Tamandua tetradactyla: one gene and its partner. The main gene of each other region encodes a partner of the protein of the gene in region 2 in a complex. Links are inferred from orthologs where the notes say so. Each region holds a gene or a part of one and is shown on either strand. Other genes may lie near its edges.

Region 1 (7,372 bases), on a different chromosome or scaffold from region 2:
GCATAGTCAAGAATTTTCTTTGTGGTGGCTTTATAACTGTATTCTCTTCTCCATTCTGAGACTTTTCCATAAGAATATTCACTTTAATATGGCTTCCATGGTACGGCTGGAAAAGAGGATATGCAATAACACTCTCAAATTCCTTTACCTCTTTCTTTACTTTCTCACGCTTCTCATGTGCAGATGGCAGGCTCTGTTTATCCCCCAAGAGCCTTTCCTTGAGTCTTTGCTCTATAAGTTCTCGCCCTCGAATCATGCGTTCCTGGTGATCTTTAATTTGCACCTGTTCCCTCTCTACTACCTGCTTTCTTCTCTGTGCTTTCTGGTTGCCATGTTTTTCTGACATGATTTTTGGTAGTGTTGTTTCACTAATGACTCGTAGTTGTTTAAATGTTTTATTCCTGAGTTCTCTGGCCTGTCCGGCTCGATGTATGTACCTCTCTATGTGTTTCAGCTCTCTCTCAGGTACTAAATAGTACCATTTTTGTCTCTCTATGTCTTGGGTTATTTTCTCCTCTATCTTCTTCTCAATTTCACTGACTGACTTTTGTTTTTTCATCATTTCCACTGTTCTTTTATTATAATAAGACTCTGCTTTGGCAAGCCAGTAATCAAGAGAAAGAGACTGCTCCTCACAGAGTGTTTTATACTCTTCTTGATATTTTTGGGTTATTAGTCTTCTTGTTGCTGTTGTATGCACGCCACCTAGATTCTGTCAAAATGAGGTATAGAATTTTAAAATATGACCACCATCTTTTTATTTAGAATATATGTAAAGACGAGCCTACTCTCAGTACTGAAACAAGCAAAGATACATAGTTTTTAATTTACTTCAATGTAATAATTGTGATTTTACTCCCATGGCACCTAGGTAAGCCTGTAAGCTCTGAAAGTACGAAGTACCTATCCATCACCATAAATCAATAACTAGTTTAAAAATATGTACAGTGTTAGGGGTTTTCAAAATGATACCTTTTTTTGCAGCTGTGGACAAAGCTGAGAAACATTTTTCAGTGTAGACTTACTATCTGAAGGTATCATTTGGGGGAAAGGATTTTAAACCTAACATTCCTTCTCCTAGTAGCTCCAAATTGTATGATGCAAAGATAATTTACTTACCAAGATCTTTTTCTCCAGTGGGGAGTGTTGGCCTGCAGCAATCCTAGAGTCTTTTGATGCTTTAGCCCAGGCCAATCTGTAAAATAAAAAAGCAAAAATAGATTAGAATGTGGGAGGTGTTAGAACACATCTGCTCACATAGTGTCTAATCTAACTGAATCAAGGAACCCAATGGTTTTGGTGAAGTCCAATGGTATTTCCCCCCCGCAAAGAGAAAACCCATGAATAGGTTATAGCAGGGCCATTTTCCTCAAGGAAACCATCGTATTTCTATGGTAGAGAGTAATAAATGGTCTTTTAAGAAGAGGATTTTCCCTTTATATGAGCTAAAAGCATACTTCTCTTGTGGACTCAACTTGAACCATTCTGAGTCTTGTACTGGGGAATGGGCGAGGGAAGTGACAGACTTCTTGGTGAGGTATTGCTGATGCACATCTATGTCAGACTGGTCAGTCCCCCAGCCTCCTTCATCTTCTGAGATAATTCTAGACTCTAGTTTTATTAGTTCATTCTCTTTCTGTAGTTTCTTGATCCGGGCCCTCTCTGCCTCTATCAGCACATACAGCATCTCTGTGCGCTCAACTTTTGCTCTGAAATTGTTATTTTATTGTCCACACTTCTGCTTGGCTGCCTTACATACACTGCCAATCATTCTTCACACTAATCCATTATGGGACCATTTACAATTGAACCCTTCAGGGTAGGAACTGGCAGGTACTCTGTGTTTACTTATAGGACAGGCTGAGAGCAACACACATGAAGACTATTAACTTTCTATGTGTCATCCCTGGTCTGGTCTGAGTTACTGTGAGGTCGTATTTAAGCTACTGAGGATGCCTAGCAATTCATCTCTGTGCTTTTGTTTACACCCTTTATGATTAAGAGCATGGGTTTTGGAGCCTGATAGGGTTAGACTTGAATCTTAAATCCACCACTTCCCAGGTGTGTATACCAAGGGCAAGTAACTTATCCTCTATGCCAGTTTCCTCATCTGTAAAACAGAGACAAGACACAATTCTGCCTCTTGGGGTTATAAAGATTATAAAGAACAAATACAAGTTAGATGTAAAGAGCTTGGCATAGTGCTTGATATATGGTAAGTTCTCAGTAAATGGCAATTATCTGTCCTCCACAGATTAAGTCCATGACTCTCCAAAAATTCTTTTTGCTCTACTCTGTCTCATAGTAGCTTCTGCCTTCCCCTGAAGACTTTTTTTCTACAAATCATATGAAAATTAATCACGCTTTACATTGTGACACACACACACACACATCACTTTTCACATTTTGCTGCATTATTTTTACAACTATAATTTGGGTGTATTCAAAGAGCAGAAACAAAATTCAGATTTACAAAGATATGATCTCTCTATATTATCAGAGAGAATCTGAAAACTATTCTGAATCACTGACCTCTTAGATGCATTCATATTTGCCTATGCATAACACATTAACATCTAACACAGTATTTAAGATGAGTCTGTGATTCCAAGTCCCCTTAGTATTTAAAAGTGAAGATTTATTATTTATTATACTTATCACATGATGTCTCAGCATCTTTTTCATCCCCATGGCTTTGTATATATCTTTTCGTTAAAGCATTTACCAGTCTTTCTTGAAGCACATGGGCATATTTATTTGATATGCTCATCCTGGACACTTACATTTTGTACATACTAGTGTTCATTACTCATTTGCATTCCTTGAGGTTGGAGAACAATTTTCAACTTTGTAGCCCCAGACTCAGCTCAAAGCCTGGCATAAATGCTCAATAAACATTTACTGATTAGAATGTGAACTTATTGGGGAAGGGGCATGCCTTATAATGCTTGCAGTTCCTTTACTGCATTAGGATATTCAATACATGTTGGATGTTTCACTGTATGTCAAAGCGAAAAGGAAAAGTTGGGGTGCGAGGAGGGCTAATTTCAATTTCCATTTTCAAAGGAGACAGCACAGTGAGATGTAAGCATAGAAACTGCCTACCATCCTGGGCTTAGCAACAGACCTGTCTTTGTAATACAAAGAAATGACACTCAAGTAAGTGAAATTACAGGGCTTACCACTCTCCTGCAGCTCGTTAAGTTTTAACTCCATTCAATATCAGGTATGTCCCCACTATTGGAAAAAAAAGAATCTCCCAGAGACGGCATTTTGTTTCTTTCAGAGAAAAAAACAGTGATAGCTCCAGGAAAAAAAATATATATATATACATATGGAGATTATCAGAACAATCCGGTTGGGTGGAGCTGGGAGGACTGGAAAGAAGCCAGGGAACTCATCTAGGAGTTTCCCTTTTAGTTCAAATTTGTACACAGATTATATGTTACAAATGAACAAAAATACCAAGATTTTCTAAAGATACTACCCTTAAATTTTAGAAAAGATTAGGGAAATGTCGACTGCCCACCTAATGGATGACAATGATTTAGAGTTGGGCAGGAGGCGAAAGAGAATGGGGCGGGAGTGGATTTCTGCAACAATAAGCCAAACTTCACCCAAGTCTTCGTGAAAGCCTTCCACTACCTACTCCCTTGATTAATGCTAGTCTCCCTCGCCTGGCAGGTGCCTAAGAATAGGGGAGCCCCGAAACACCCCTATTCCAAACACTTCCGCTACCTCCAAAATCCTAAATCCCTCCAACGTCCTACTCAATTCCTTTCGTCTCAAGGGACTAAGTATTCCTCCTCCGTCTTCATCCTTACCACTTTCTGCCCCTTAAGATGCCAACTCACATCTTCCAAGCGCCCCTAAACTGCCTCCCAAGAAGAGCACGCGTGCCAGGCTGAGCACTGCAGAGCAGCCCACGCTCCGCCAGCAGGATCCAAGCAATACCAGAACCGTAACTCTCGGAATGCTTAGCTTTCTTTGTTTGTAACCACTGAGCAGCCGCCGAAAGGAGATGCCGGCTCAGGAATGGCGGGAATTGTAGTTCCCTTGTCAGTAAAACAAGTATTCAGGAAGATTAGTACGTTTTGGAGGGAATGACCTCCGGCAAATGATGCGAGACCAAGAAAATAAGTATATCAGAGTTCTGTCCCGGGGATAAAAGCAGCCAGAAGCGCAGTACACGTTAGCATTTTTCTTTTCCGACGTCACAATACAAAGCCGAAGAAACCACAAGTTCCGCTCGCGCGGCTTGCGTTCTCTCAGAAAGGCTTTTGGACTTAGGTTAGCGATTACTTATGACATCTCAGCCAATCGTGAGCCGGGACGCTTTGACGCTCTAGGCCGCCATGCACCGACTGCTCGGCGGCTCTCTGGGAGGCCGACGCTCTAGCCCGCGGGGTTGGTCAGCTCGTCTCCCAGGAAGGGTACCAAGCCGCTGGGCTCCAGAAGAGGGCTGGCAGTGCTGGACGCTTAGGCCCACTCGTCGCAGAAATGGGAGGCGTGCTTTGGAATGTTTATGCCTAGGTCCTGGTTCAGGACAGGAAGGACCCCAGAGTGGTGAGGTTGGTTTTAAAAAACCTTTATTTTGTTAATACGTTGCTCGTCCGCTCCCCAACCCGCGACCACCTTTCCGTTATGGACCTCGCCAAGACCTGCTCCAGCTTCCAGTCGGACCTCGATTTCTGCCCAGACTGCGGCTCTGTTCTGCCCCTGCCCGGGACTCAAGATACGGTCATCTGTGCGCGCTGTGGCTTCTCCATCAACGTGCGGGGTGAGCGACTCTTAGGCAGTGGTCCGGGCGGAGAGTCCGGAATGGAAGTGTCGGAGGTTTGGGGACCTCAAGATCGCTGGGATTAAGGAGGGGGATTCTAGAGCAGGAGACCAGGCACTTATACCTTTGGTCCAGGGCGGAGACCCGAAGGTGACACAAGGAATGCAGAGCCTCCTGGCTTAACCGGGAGCGGGGTTGCGGGTATCTACTCCCACCATTTGTCTCCACAAACGATTCTTACTGCCTGCGCAGACTTCGAAGGGAAGGTTGTGAAGACCTCATTTGTGTTTCACAAACTGGGAACAGCCGTGCGCAAGTCCGTAGAAGAAGGACCAGCGTTTCAGGGGCCCGTGGTAAGTTAATGAGATCAAGGACTGGCTCAGTAAGGGAAATGAAGAAAGAAATGGGGGAGGGGGCAATTGGAGAGATATGGAGAGTTTTGTACCCAAATCCAGGAAAGTAGAGGGGAAATGTCTGTGGGATGTGACAGCCTGATTCCTATGCGAATTAAGGAGATACTGACTAGGCCTTCCCTGTCCCACCAATTGTTTCCCAGGTTGACAGACGCTGCGCTAGATGTGGTCATGAAGGAATGGCATACCAGACCAGACAGATGCGCTCAGCCGATGAAGGGCAGACTGTCTTCTACACCTGTACCAACTGCAAGTGAGTGTCATTTCCCCTCCCTCTGCCCTTTCTCCATCTACTTGCCAGCTAAACAAATCCAATGGCTTACCTTTTACTAAATGAATAATTATCTTCTTTGGTCATATCCCTCATATCTGTACAGTTCAGATAGTAAGAAAATGCATGGTCTTCTTTTTAATATTTTCATTGAGAAATCTTCAAACATACCTTCCATACATGGTGTACAATCAATGGCTCACAATATCATCACATAATTGTATATTCACTACCATGATCATTGTTTAGAACATTTGCATCACTCCAGAAAAAGAAATAAAAGGAAGAAAGAGAAACCTCGTGCATACCATACACCTTACCCCTCCCTCTTATTGACCACTAGTATTTCCATCTACCCAATTTATTTTACCCTTTGTCCCCTCTATTTATTTATTAACTTTTTATCCATATTTTTTTATTCCTCTGCCCATAGCTGGGATAAAAGGAACATCAGACACAAGGTCTTCACAATCACGCAGTCACACTGTAAAAGTTATATCTTTTATACAATCGATTATCTTCAAGAATCAAGGCTATTGGAACTCAGCTCAAATGTTTCAGGTACTTCTCTCCACTCACTCCAACACACCATAAACTAAAAAGGGATATCTATATAATACATAATAACCTCCAGGATAACCTCTTGACTCTGTTTGAAATCCCTCAGCCACTGAAACTTTATTTTGTCTCATTTCTCTCTTCCCCGTTTTGGTTAAGAAGTCTTTCTCAATTCCTTATGCCGGGTCCCAGCTCATCCCAGGATTTCTGTCCTGTGTTGCCAGGGAGATTTACACCCCTGGGAGTCATATCCCCCGTATTGGGTAGGGCAGTGAGTTCACATGCTGAGTTGGCTTAGAGAGAGGCCATATCTGAGCAAAAAAGGTTGTCTGGGGATGACTCTTAGGCATAATTATATGTAGCCTTAGCCTATCATTTGCAGAATAAGTTTCATGAACCCCAAGATCGAGGGCTTGGCTTATTGATTTGGTTGTCCACACTGCTTAGTGAGAATATCAGAAATTCTCCAAAAGGGGGAAGTTGAATATTTCCTCCTTTCTCCCATTCCCCCAGGGGACTTTGCAAATACTTCTTTATTCATTGCCCAGATTACTCTGGGATTTATCAGATCATCACACTAACTTGAACAAACCAACAAAATCTCACCCCCTATTGAAGATTCCATATACTTATAATGTTCAACTAAACTAACCGTACTAATTAAATTAGGAAATGCACTACCTAAAATATAAATTTTGCACCCAATAAACATCTCTCCCTTTAGTCTCACACAGAAGTTGAAGTCTTAAAATATAGATATCATCCTTTAACTGTATTCTGATATACCTTAGTTATATCTGGATCAGCTTCATTCATGTCGCTACTTGATGTCTGATCACTTTTTTAACTTTTTAAACAGTTCCTGTGTGGGGTACTGATGACTTTCATAGCTTCAGAGTTCTGAGTCTTAGATGTCACATAAATACCTGAAGTTTCTGGGAATGACCATGTTATATACAAACAGCTCAGTATCTCAGAATTTAGAATTAACAGTTAGATCCCCTGAATATATGTGACTGCTGTAAGAGCTTACAATCTAAGACCCTTTACAATAGGCCCCAACCTAATCACCCATGTTCTCAACTTTAGTTCACTGAATTTTTATATTATGGTTAGTCCATAAGGTTGAGGCATGATAATATTTGTCTTTTTGTTCCTAAAATTTCATTCAACATAGTCTTTAAGGTTCATTCACCTAGTTGCATGCCTTACATCTTCATTACTTCTTGCAGCTACTTAGTAGTCTGTTGTATGTATATACCACAGTTCCCCCTTCCATTCCTCAGTCGTTGTACCCTTAGACCACCTCCATTAATTATTGCTCAGAAACACTGTAGCCATAAGCACCAG
Region 2 (7,516 bases):
AGTTTGAATTTTTAACAGCCCTATCCCAGTAATAGAAACACCATTCAAAATGTAAGTAGCCATATTAAATATATGAAGAAAACTAGCAACCACTTTAACCTCACTGACACTAATAGAACACAATGCTCAGCAACTTCAGGGTACTCATTCTTTTCTAGTGCCGATGGAATATTTACCAGGCTATAATGACACTGGGGGCAACAAAATAAATTCTCAAAAACTTAAAAAATATTACTAAATAAGGTTAAGATGTCAATTCTACCCACGGTTACTTACAGATTCAATGCTTATTACAAATCACAGTAATAAAAAACAGCATAGTACTGACAAAAGGACAGAAAAATAGAACAATAGAGTCAAATTGAGAGTTCAGAAATCAACCCTTACACTTATATCCTTCTGATTTTTTTTCTCTTTTTCTTTTCTCTTCTTTCTTTTTTTGCATGGGCAGGCACTGGGAATCAAACTCAGGTCTCTGAGAACTCTGCCTGCTAAGCCACCTGGCCCGCCCCCAACTGATTTTTGACAAACGGGGAAGGACCATTCAATTTGGAAAGAACAGGCTCTTTAACAAATGGTGTTGGGAAAACTGGATTTCCATTTGCAAAAGAATGAAGGTGGACACCTACCTCACATCATATAAAAAAGTAAACTCAAAATGGATCAAAGACCTAAATATAAGAAACAGAGCTATTGACTCGTAGATGAAAACATAGGGAAGCGTCTTCAGGATCTTGTGTTGGGCAAGAGTTTTAGACTTCACACCCAAAGTTCAAGCAACAAAAGAAAAAATAGATAAATAGGACCTCCTCAAAATTAAAAACTTCTGTGCATCAATGGTCCTTACTATGAAAGGAAAATGACAACCCATACAATGAAAGAAAATATTTGGAAGCCACAAATCCAATACATAAAGAAGTCCTCCAACTCAACAACAAAAAGATAACTCAATTTAAAAATGGGCAAAAGATTTGAACACACATTTTTCCAAAGAAGATAGATAAATGCCCAAACAACACATGAAAAGATGCTCAACATCATTAGCATCACAACCATAATGTGTTACCATTTAATACCCACAAGAATGGCTATTATTAGAAAAATACAAAATTACAAAGTGTTGGAGAAGATCTGGAGAAATAGGAACACTTTATTCATTTCTGGTGGAAATGTAAAAATGGTGCAGCCACTCGGTGGAAAACAATTTGCCACTTTCTCAGATAGTTAAGTATAGAATTGCCCAGCATATATGTCCCAGCATATATCTAGGTATATATCCAAAAGAATTGAAAGTAAGGACTTGAACAGATATTTGCACACCGATATTCATAGCATCATTGTTCACAATCGCCAAAAGATGGAAGCAATCCAAGTGTCCATAAACCAGTGAATGGATAAACAAAATGTGGTATATACACAAAATGGAATATTATTCAGCCATAAATAGGAATGAAATTCTGAAACATGCATCAACAGACAAAAGAAGGTGGAAACAAAGTACAAATATTTTATGATTTCACTAATATGAAATAATTAGAATAACCAAACTCATATGGTCAGAATCTAGGTTACAAAGGGATGGGGAACGGGGTGGAATAGGGAGCTGTGTTAGGTTCTCTAGAGAAACAGAACCAACAGAAGAGATCTGTAAATATGAGATAAACATTTCTCATGCAACCGTGGGAATGGAAGAGTCCAAAATCCATACGGCAAACTGTGAGGCTGGTGGCTCCAATGAATGTTCTGGACAGCCTCCTCAGGAGAAGTGAAAGAGTCTCTCTTATTCACTAAAGACCTCCAACTGATTGGATTATCTCAGTGCAGGAGACTGCCTTAGTTGATCACACATGTAATCAGCCACAGATGCAATCAACTGACTGACCAACCTTCTAGTTTATCAACCAGCCACGAAATATCCTTGGCCAGTGCTTGTCTGACCAGACAACTGGGCACAATCACTTGGCCAAGTTGATACCAGAACCCAACCATCACAGGACTTAAGGCTTAAAATGTAGAATTTCTATTTGGAATGCTGAAATGTTTCGATAATAGATGGCGGTGATGGCAGCATAACATTGTGAACATAATTAACAGCAGTGAAATATATATCTGAAATTGGTTCAAAGGAGGAAATGTTAGGTTGTACATATGGTACCAGAATAACATTAAAAAACAAAACAAAACATGGAACCGCATAACACTAGCTGTGAGTCCATGGAATATAGTTAATTTTACACTGATAAAAAATGTGCTTTCATCAATTGTCACAAATGTACCACACAATGGAAGGTATTAATAATAGGGTGAAATGTGGAGACCTGTATTTTATGCATGATTACTCTGTAAACCCACACCTCTAAAGAGAAAAAAAACTGATAGGATGGACTTAGTTGGCTGTATCCAAGGCTAGATATCAAAAAGGAAATGACACTCCTGAGGGGGAAAAAACAGCAGTAAATTAGATTGAACAAGAGGCCTGTCCACAGGCCCACTTCATAATTATACTCCAAGGTGGCCAGCTCCTCTCAGGCCTCAGAGAACTTTCCTTCCTCCATGCCCTAGCCCACATATCAGCGCAGCAATACCTGTTTGTCATATACCAGGTCAATCTTGTGGTCAAGGAGGCCCCAGACCTCGGAGATGGCTGTGGTGTTGCTTAGCATGCAGACTGTTCACTGTGCCACTGCGGGGTTGTGGCAGTTGATTTCAATCTTGAAAGCCACTGGATACTAGTCCATACACAGGATGGTACTCTTGATCATAGCGATGGTGGCAGTCACATCCTTGAGCTCCACTTTTCCACTGTAGAGTATGCAGCAGACTATGCACTTTCTGGGGGAGGGTCACACTTGGCTATCTGGAGGGTTAAAGCAGATACTAGTCACCTCTGCCACTGTGAACTGCTCATGTTTCAGCTGAGACAATGGGCAAGTAGGTCATCAGGGGAAAGTGGATGGAGGGGTAGTGCACCAGGGTGGTCTGGCACCCTGTGCAGTCCATGTTCAGGAACCTGTCAACGCACAGGGAGGTGGTGATGGAGGGAAAATCTGACCAGTGAGTCAGACTGTGATTTAGCATGGTCAATATTTTTAATCTCTTTGTCCCAATGCATGTTCTACCAGAGTTGTACCATGGGAAAGGAAGGGTAGGTAGGGCATATAAACTTACTAGTTCTTAACTTTCTCTCTTTTATCTACTGCTGTGTAGAGAAACTAGAAATTTCTTCCCCACTTAGATGAGAACATCAATTTCTAGCCACATAAAAGCAACTCTGGGTTGGTTTTGGTGAAATTATATCTCATGGCAATGGACTAAATATATCCAGATTAAGGTCTAGGCTGGGGGGCTAATAACTATAGTTTTGTGTGTGTGTGTCGTGCCCTCCTCTACCACACCATCATATAGATCAGTGTTGCCTGTGGCACTCGAGCACATACTTGAGAAAGGCCAAGCACTTATATGGCATAGCAGGAGGAACTTTTCTTGCCAGTATTTATGAATGCAACATAGAAATAAGTATTCCTAACATTATAAGGAATCACTTACATGCTCTTACTAGACCTTTAGTTGCCTCCGCAGTACACTGATTGTGCTCAAATGGTTCATTCTGGGGAGGAGCTCAAAAGATTCCTGGAGTCACCGACACCCTTATCGGTGCAACTTTAGCTATTAACAAAAATCTTTCTTGGAACGACTTTAAAAATGCCTCCTTCTAGCATTTATTCAATCAATTCTATCCTCTCATGCTATACAAAAGTAATCTAAACCTCCCTGGACGGATCAGCTCTCCAAATATCCGAAAGACACATTATGTTCACGTGTATCTCTGCTTTTCCAAGGTCACCCTCCTCGAAACCCTTAACTGTCTCTCATTTCACATCGTTTAACCATTTTATTTTTGACCCCTATTTCATACAGGTTTTTCAATGTCACTTACGGAAAATGGCCCAACACAAGTACTCGGAATCGTCCCCGCTGAGGACCAAATAGAGATTCTAGTCCGAGTTTTGGGGAGGCAGTCAGGGTCGCTTAAACTCACCCGAAGGTCAGAGCTAAAACTTTAATAAAAGGAAAAAGCCAATTAGACGGCTAGCAAGAGGTCCTATCGGGGTCGCTCGCCACGCCTCCGTTCGCGCAGCCCGTCAGTGAGCAAGCAGAAACCGGAAGGTCCCGCACGGTAAGTCACTCGGGTAATGTGACAGCCTGCTTTTTCGACTGTTCTTCATTTCCAGCCATTCTCCGTCGCCCCAATATCCACTTGTAATTAGAATCTCTCCTTTTCCGGCTGGGACAGATTAAAACGTGAACCTGAGACCATACCCACGAGAAAGCGGCAAGTCTCCACACCGGCCACGAGGGGCGGCCGTGACGTCACCACGGCGGCGCTGGGGGCGGGGCTGCTCCTGCGCACGGCCCGTGCTCCCGAGCGATTCTCCGCGTGCTCACGCGAAGCGTCGCGGACGTCACTTCCCGCGAGGTTTTGTTCGTGGTGTCCCGCGAAGTTGGAACGCCCAGCTCAGCCGGGCCCAGGGGCTTCACGCTTCAGGCGAGTACGTGTCGTGGACGTTGTCTGCGGCACCGCCTGCTTTCCCGGTTGAGCGGGAATGGCTGTGCGAGGACGCAGGTGTGGCCCGGTATTTTCTCCTGGTGCGGTGAGACCGTGAGTGAGTCGAAGAGAGAGAGCGGAAGCCTTGTTGCCGTGGTAGCCGCGCGCTTCACCGCGGGGTTCGGCGTGTTTGTGAGCACGGCCTCGGTCGGGACTCCTGGACGGCCCCGGGTGGGTCAGCCTTGGTCACCTTTCTTGTGACCTCAGGTAGATGACAAGATAACACTAAACCAGGCTAGTTCTCGCCTGCCATGCCGGAGACCCGGGTTCCATTCCCGGTGCCTACCCATGCCAAAAAAATAAAAATAAAAAATAATAATAATAATCACACTAAGCCCCTCAAGTCTTTTCACCGTCAAAATGCGGTATTTACCTCAGGATTACTGTGAAGATTAAATTAGGTAGTTTGTGTGGCTGACATATAGTAAGATCCCAGTACATCTCAACTGCTACTGCTACTCTTGTTTTGTCCTACTATTATTTCTCATTTTTCTCTTTCTTGTGGACTTGAGTTTGTTTTTGAGTAAAAGGACAATATCTTGGTTATCTCTGTATGTGATTGCTTATAGTTGATGTTGTATTTTTTTTTATGTTGCTGACATAATTATATCTTATTTTTACTTTAAAGGAATTCCCAAGTACAGAAAAATTTTGCTGATCAAGTATTTCTTAGATCAGAAGACGACTTTTCTCTGTAACTCAGAAGCCTACGGATTAAGATGTACAGAAAGTAACTGATATTCTCAGTTTCGAGTAGGTATGAGTGATTTCATTGAGGAATCAGCAAGGCCCGTGCCCGAGGAGGATGGGGTGGACATGTCTGTGCTCTCTGGTACAGGAATTTATTTCCCTTGGCTCCGAAAGCAAATAGAAACTGTGGGTAAGTAAAAGAACATATGACCGTTTAACTATAATGCAAGGCAGTGGTTAGATTCAGTATGGATGCGAAATGAATAACTAGGTTGGGGAGAGCTTCAGTTTTCAAGGTAGGAAATAGGTGATATACTTTTTAGGCTGTAAGGAAGAAAACAAATCACAAATAGGTCTTTTTTTTTTTCTTTTAAAATTCTTTTCCTTTGAATTAATAACAAGTAGTCTGTATTTCTTTTTCCCCAGCAAGACTTATTTCACACACTTATTTGGCATTGGCTAAATACTGGTGATATGCAGATTAGTAACGTTGGGACTCTGCCCACTGAGGAATGCATACCTAAGAAGTGTTCAGGAAGTTCTTGTTGAATTGCACTGGAATGATTTCAAATAGAATTAGTTTTAAAAAAGTGTTTTCCCCCATTTTCATTTAATATAAATATGAGCAAGTTTTTCGATGAGATAAATTCCCTACTGGATTGAATAAGAACCAGTTATCTACATGTTGGCATGTTGGGTGATGTAGTCCTGGGAATACATTTGAAGCATTATTTTTATTATTGCCCTCAATCCGTGTTTCGTAGCCCATAATTGAAATCCCTTAGCTCCTGTTTTTTTTCCTTCTAACCTGAGTATCATTTCATTAATTATCTCAGTAAATTAATCCTCATAGCAGTATATATGTCAGGCATTTTAGAGATGAAGAAACTGAATCTTAGAGAAGTTAAACTATAAGCAGTGGTGTCAGGAGTCAAACCCAGGTCTGTTTGATCTCAAAGCCTGTGCTTTTAACCACTGAGCTATATAAAAAGTGAGATAATATATTTGAATTGCTTAGCATAGAGCCTCATGCACAGCGAGTGTTGAAAAATTACCAATTCCATTCCTCTCCTCATTTTATTTTAACTAGGTTAATGCATATGACTTAAGCGAAGTTTGACTGTATTGTACTTCAGGAATGATACCTCACCCCTTAGAACTAGGAACCTGAAGTGTGGGGTTAGGTAATGCTACTCAGTTTCTGCTAGTTAAGATATACCTGGGTATGTTTCTGTCACCAGGGATCTATAGAGAGTTTGATTAAGTCTGCAGGTAAATAGGTTTAAGACCAGAATTTATGTGCTTAGAAATGTGTTATTATGTATTATGGATAGCCTTTTAAACCCAAGATATTGTATATCTGCAATGAGAAAATAGTAATAAATAATATTGGCACTGTAAGTAACGTACAGTATTGACGTTGTAAGTAACTATAGTTTGAAAACGAAATTGCCTAAGAATTATTTTTTTATACTAGTAGAAAGTTTTTGGCATTCTGAAGGATCTGCCCTCCTCCCCCCTAGAATGAAAGCTCCTTTAAGGGAGGGGTCAGTCTGGAATAAAGATTTATGCCAAGCACCTAGAATTTGTTGACTGACTGACAACTTTCTGGATTCTTTTAGGGGCTGATTTTTGAATGACTGGTTCTTATTTATAGCTCATTCCATGCCAAAACTTCTTTTCCTTAAGAAATATTATTATTACTATTTTTATAGTTCTTTTTTTAAAACATTTTTATTGTAAATAACAAACATTCTTGACACTGTTAGAATTAGTGGCTCACAATATCATCACATAGTTGTGTATTCATCACCATGATCCTTAGTTTTAAACATTTGCATATCTCCAGCAAAAGAAAGAAAAAAGAAAAAATTCATACATGCCATACCCCTAACCCTTCCCTCTCATTGATGACTAGTATTTCAAGCTACTCAATTTTTAAAATCTTTGCTCCCCCTATTATTTGTTTATTTCTTATCCATATTTTTTACTCATTTGTCCATACTGTAGATAAAAGGAGCATCAAACACAAGGTTTTCACAGTCATGCAGTCACATTGCGAAAGCTTTAAGAAACATGGCTACTGGAACACAGCGTGATAATTTCAGGCATTTCCCCCTAGCCACTCCAATACACCATAAACTAAAAAGGGGATATCAATGTTATGTGTAAGAATAACCTCCAGGATAAACTCTCGACTCTGTTTGAAATCTCTTAGCC

What was found. Proteins that work in one complex are often made in the same cells at the same time.
Region 1: TAF1A (region 2) and POLR1H share a complex: the UniProt entries of both Homo sapiens proteins name them as parts of the pol I pre-initiation complex. The link is inferred for Tamandua tetradactyla from reciprocal best matches to the Homo sapiens genes TAF1A and POLR1H.

The regions. Positions count from the first base shown.
Region 1 is NC_135331.1:84,544,680-84,552,051, forward strand, and holds the start of POLR1H (DNA-directed RNA polymerase I subunit RPA12), read left to right. Parts: upstream 1-4,313; 5' UTR 4,314-4,644; coding exon 4,645-4,780; intron 4,781-5,032; coding exon 5,033-5,133; intron 5,134-5,336; coding exon 5,337-5,446; intron 5,447-5,845; exon of another isoform or gene 5,846-7,372. UniProt on the Homo sapiens protein: Core component of RNA polymerase I (Pol I), a DNA-dependent RNA polymerase which synthesizes ribosomal RNA precursors using the four ribonucleoside triphosphates as substrates. Can mediate Pol I proofreading of the nascent RNA transcript.
Region 2 is NC_135330.1:83,117,507-83,125,022, reverse strand, and holds the start of TAF1A (TATA box-binding protein-associated factor RNA polymerase I subunit A), read left to right. Parts: upstream 1-4,421; 5' UTR 4,422-4,546; exon of another isoform or gene 4,547-4,813; intron 4,814-5,234; 5' UTR 5,235-5,365; coding exon 5,366-5,486; intron 5,487-7,516. UniProt on the Homo sapiens protein: Component of the transcription factor SL1/TIF-IB complex, which is involved in the assembly of the PIC (pre-initiation complex) during RNA polymerase I-dependent transcription.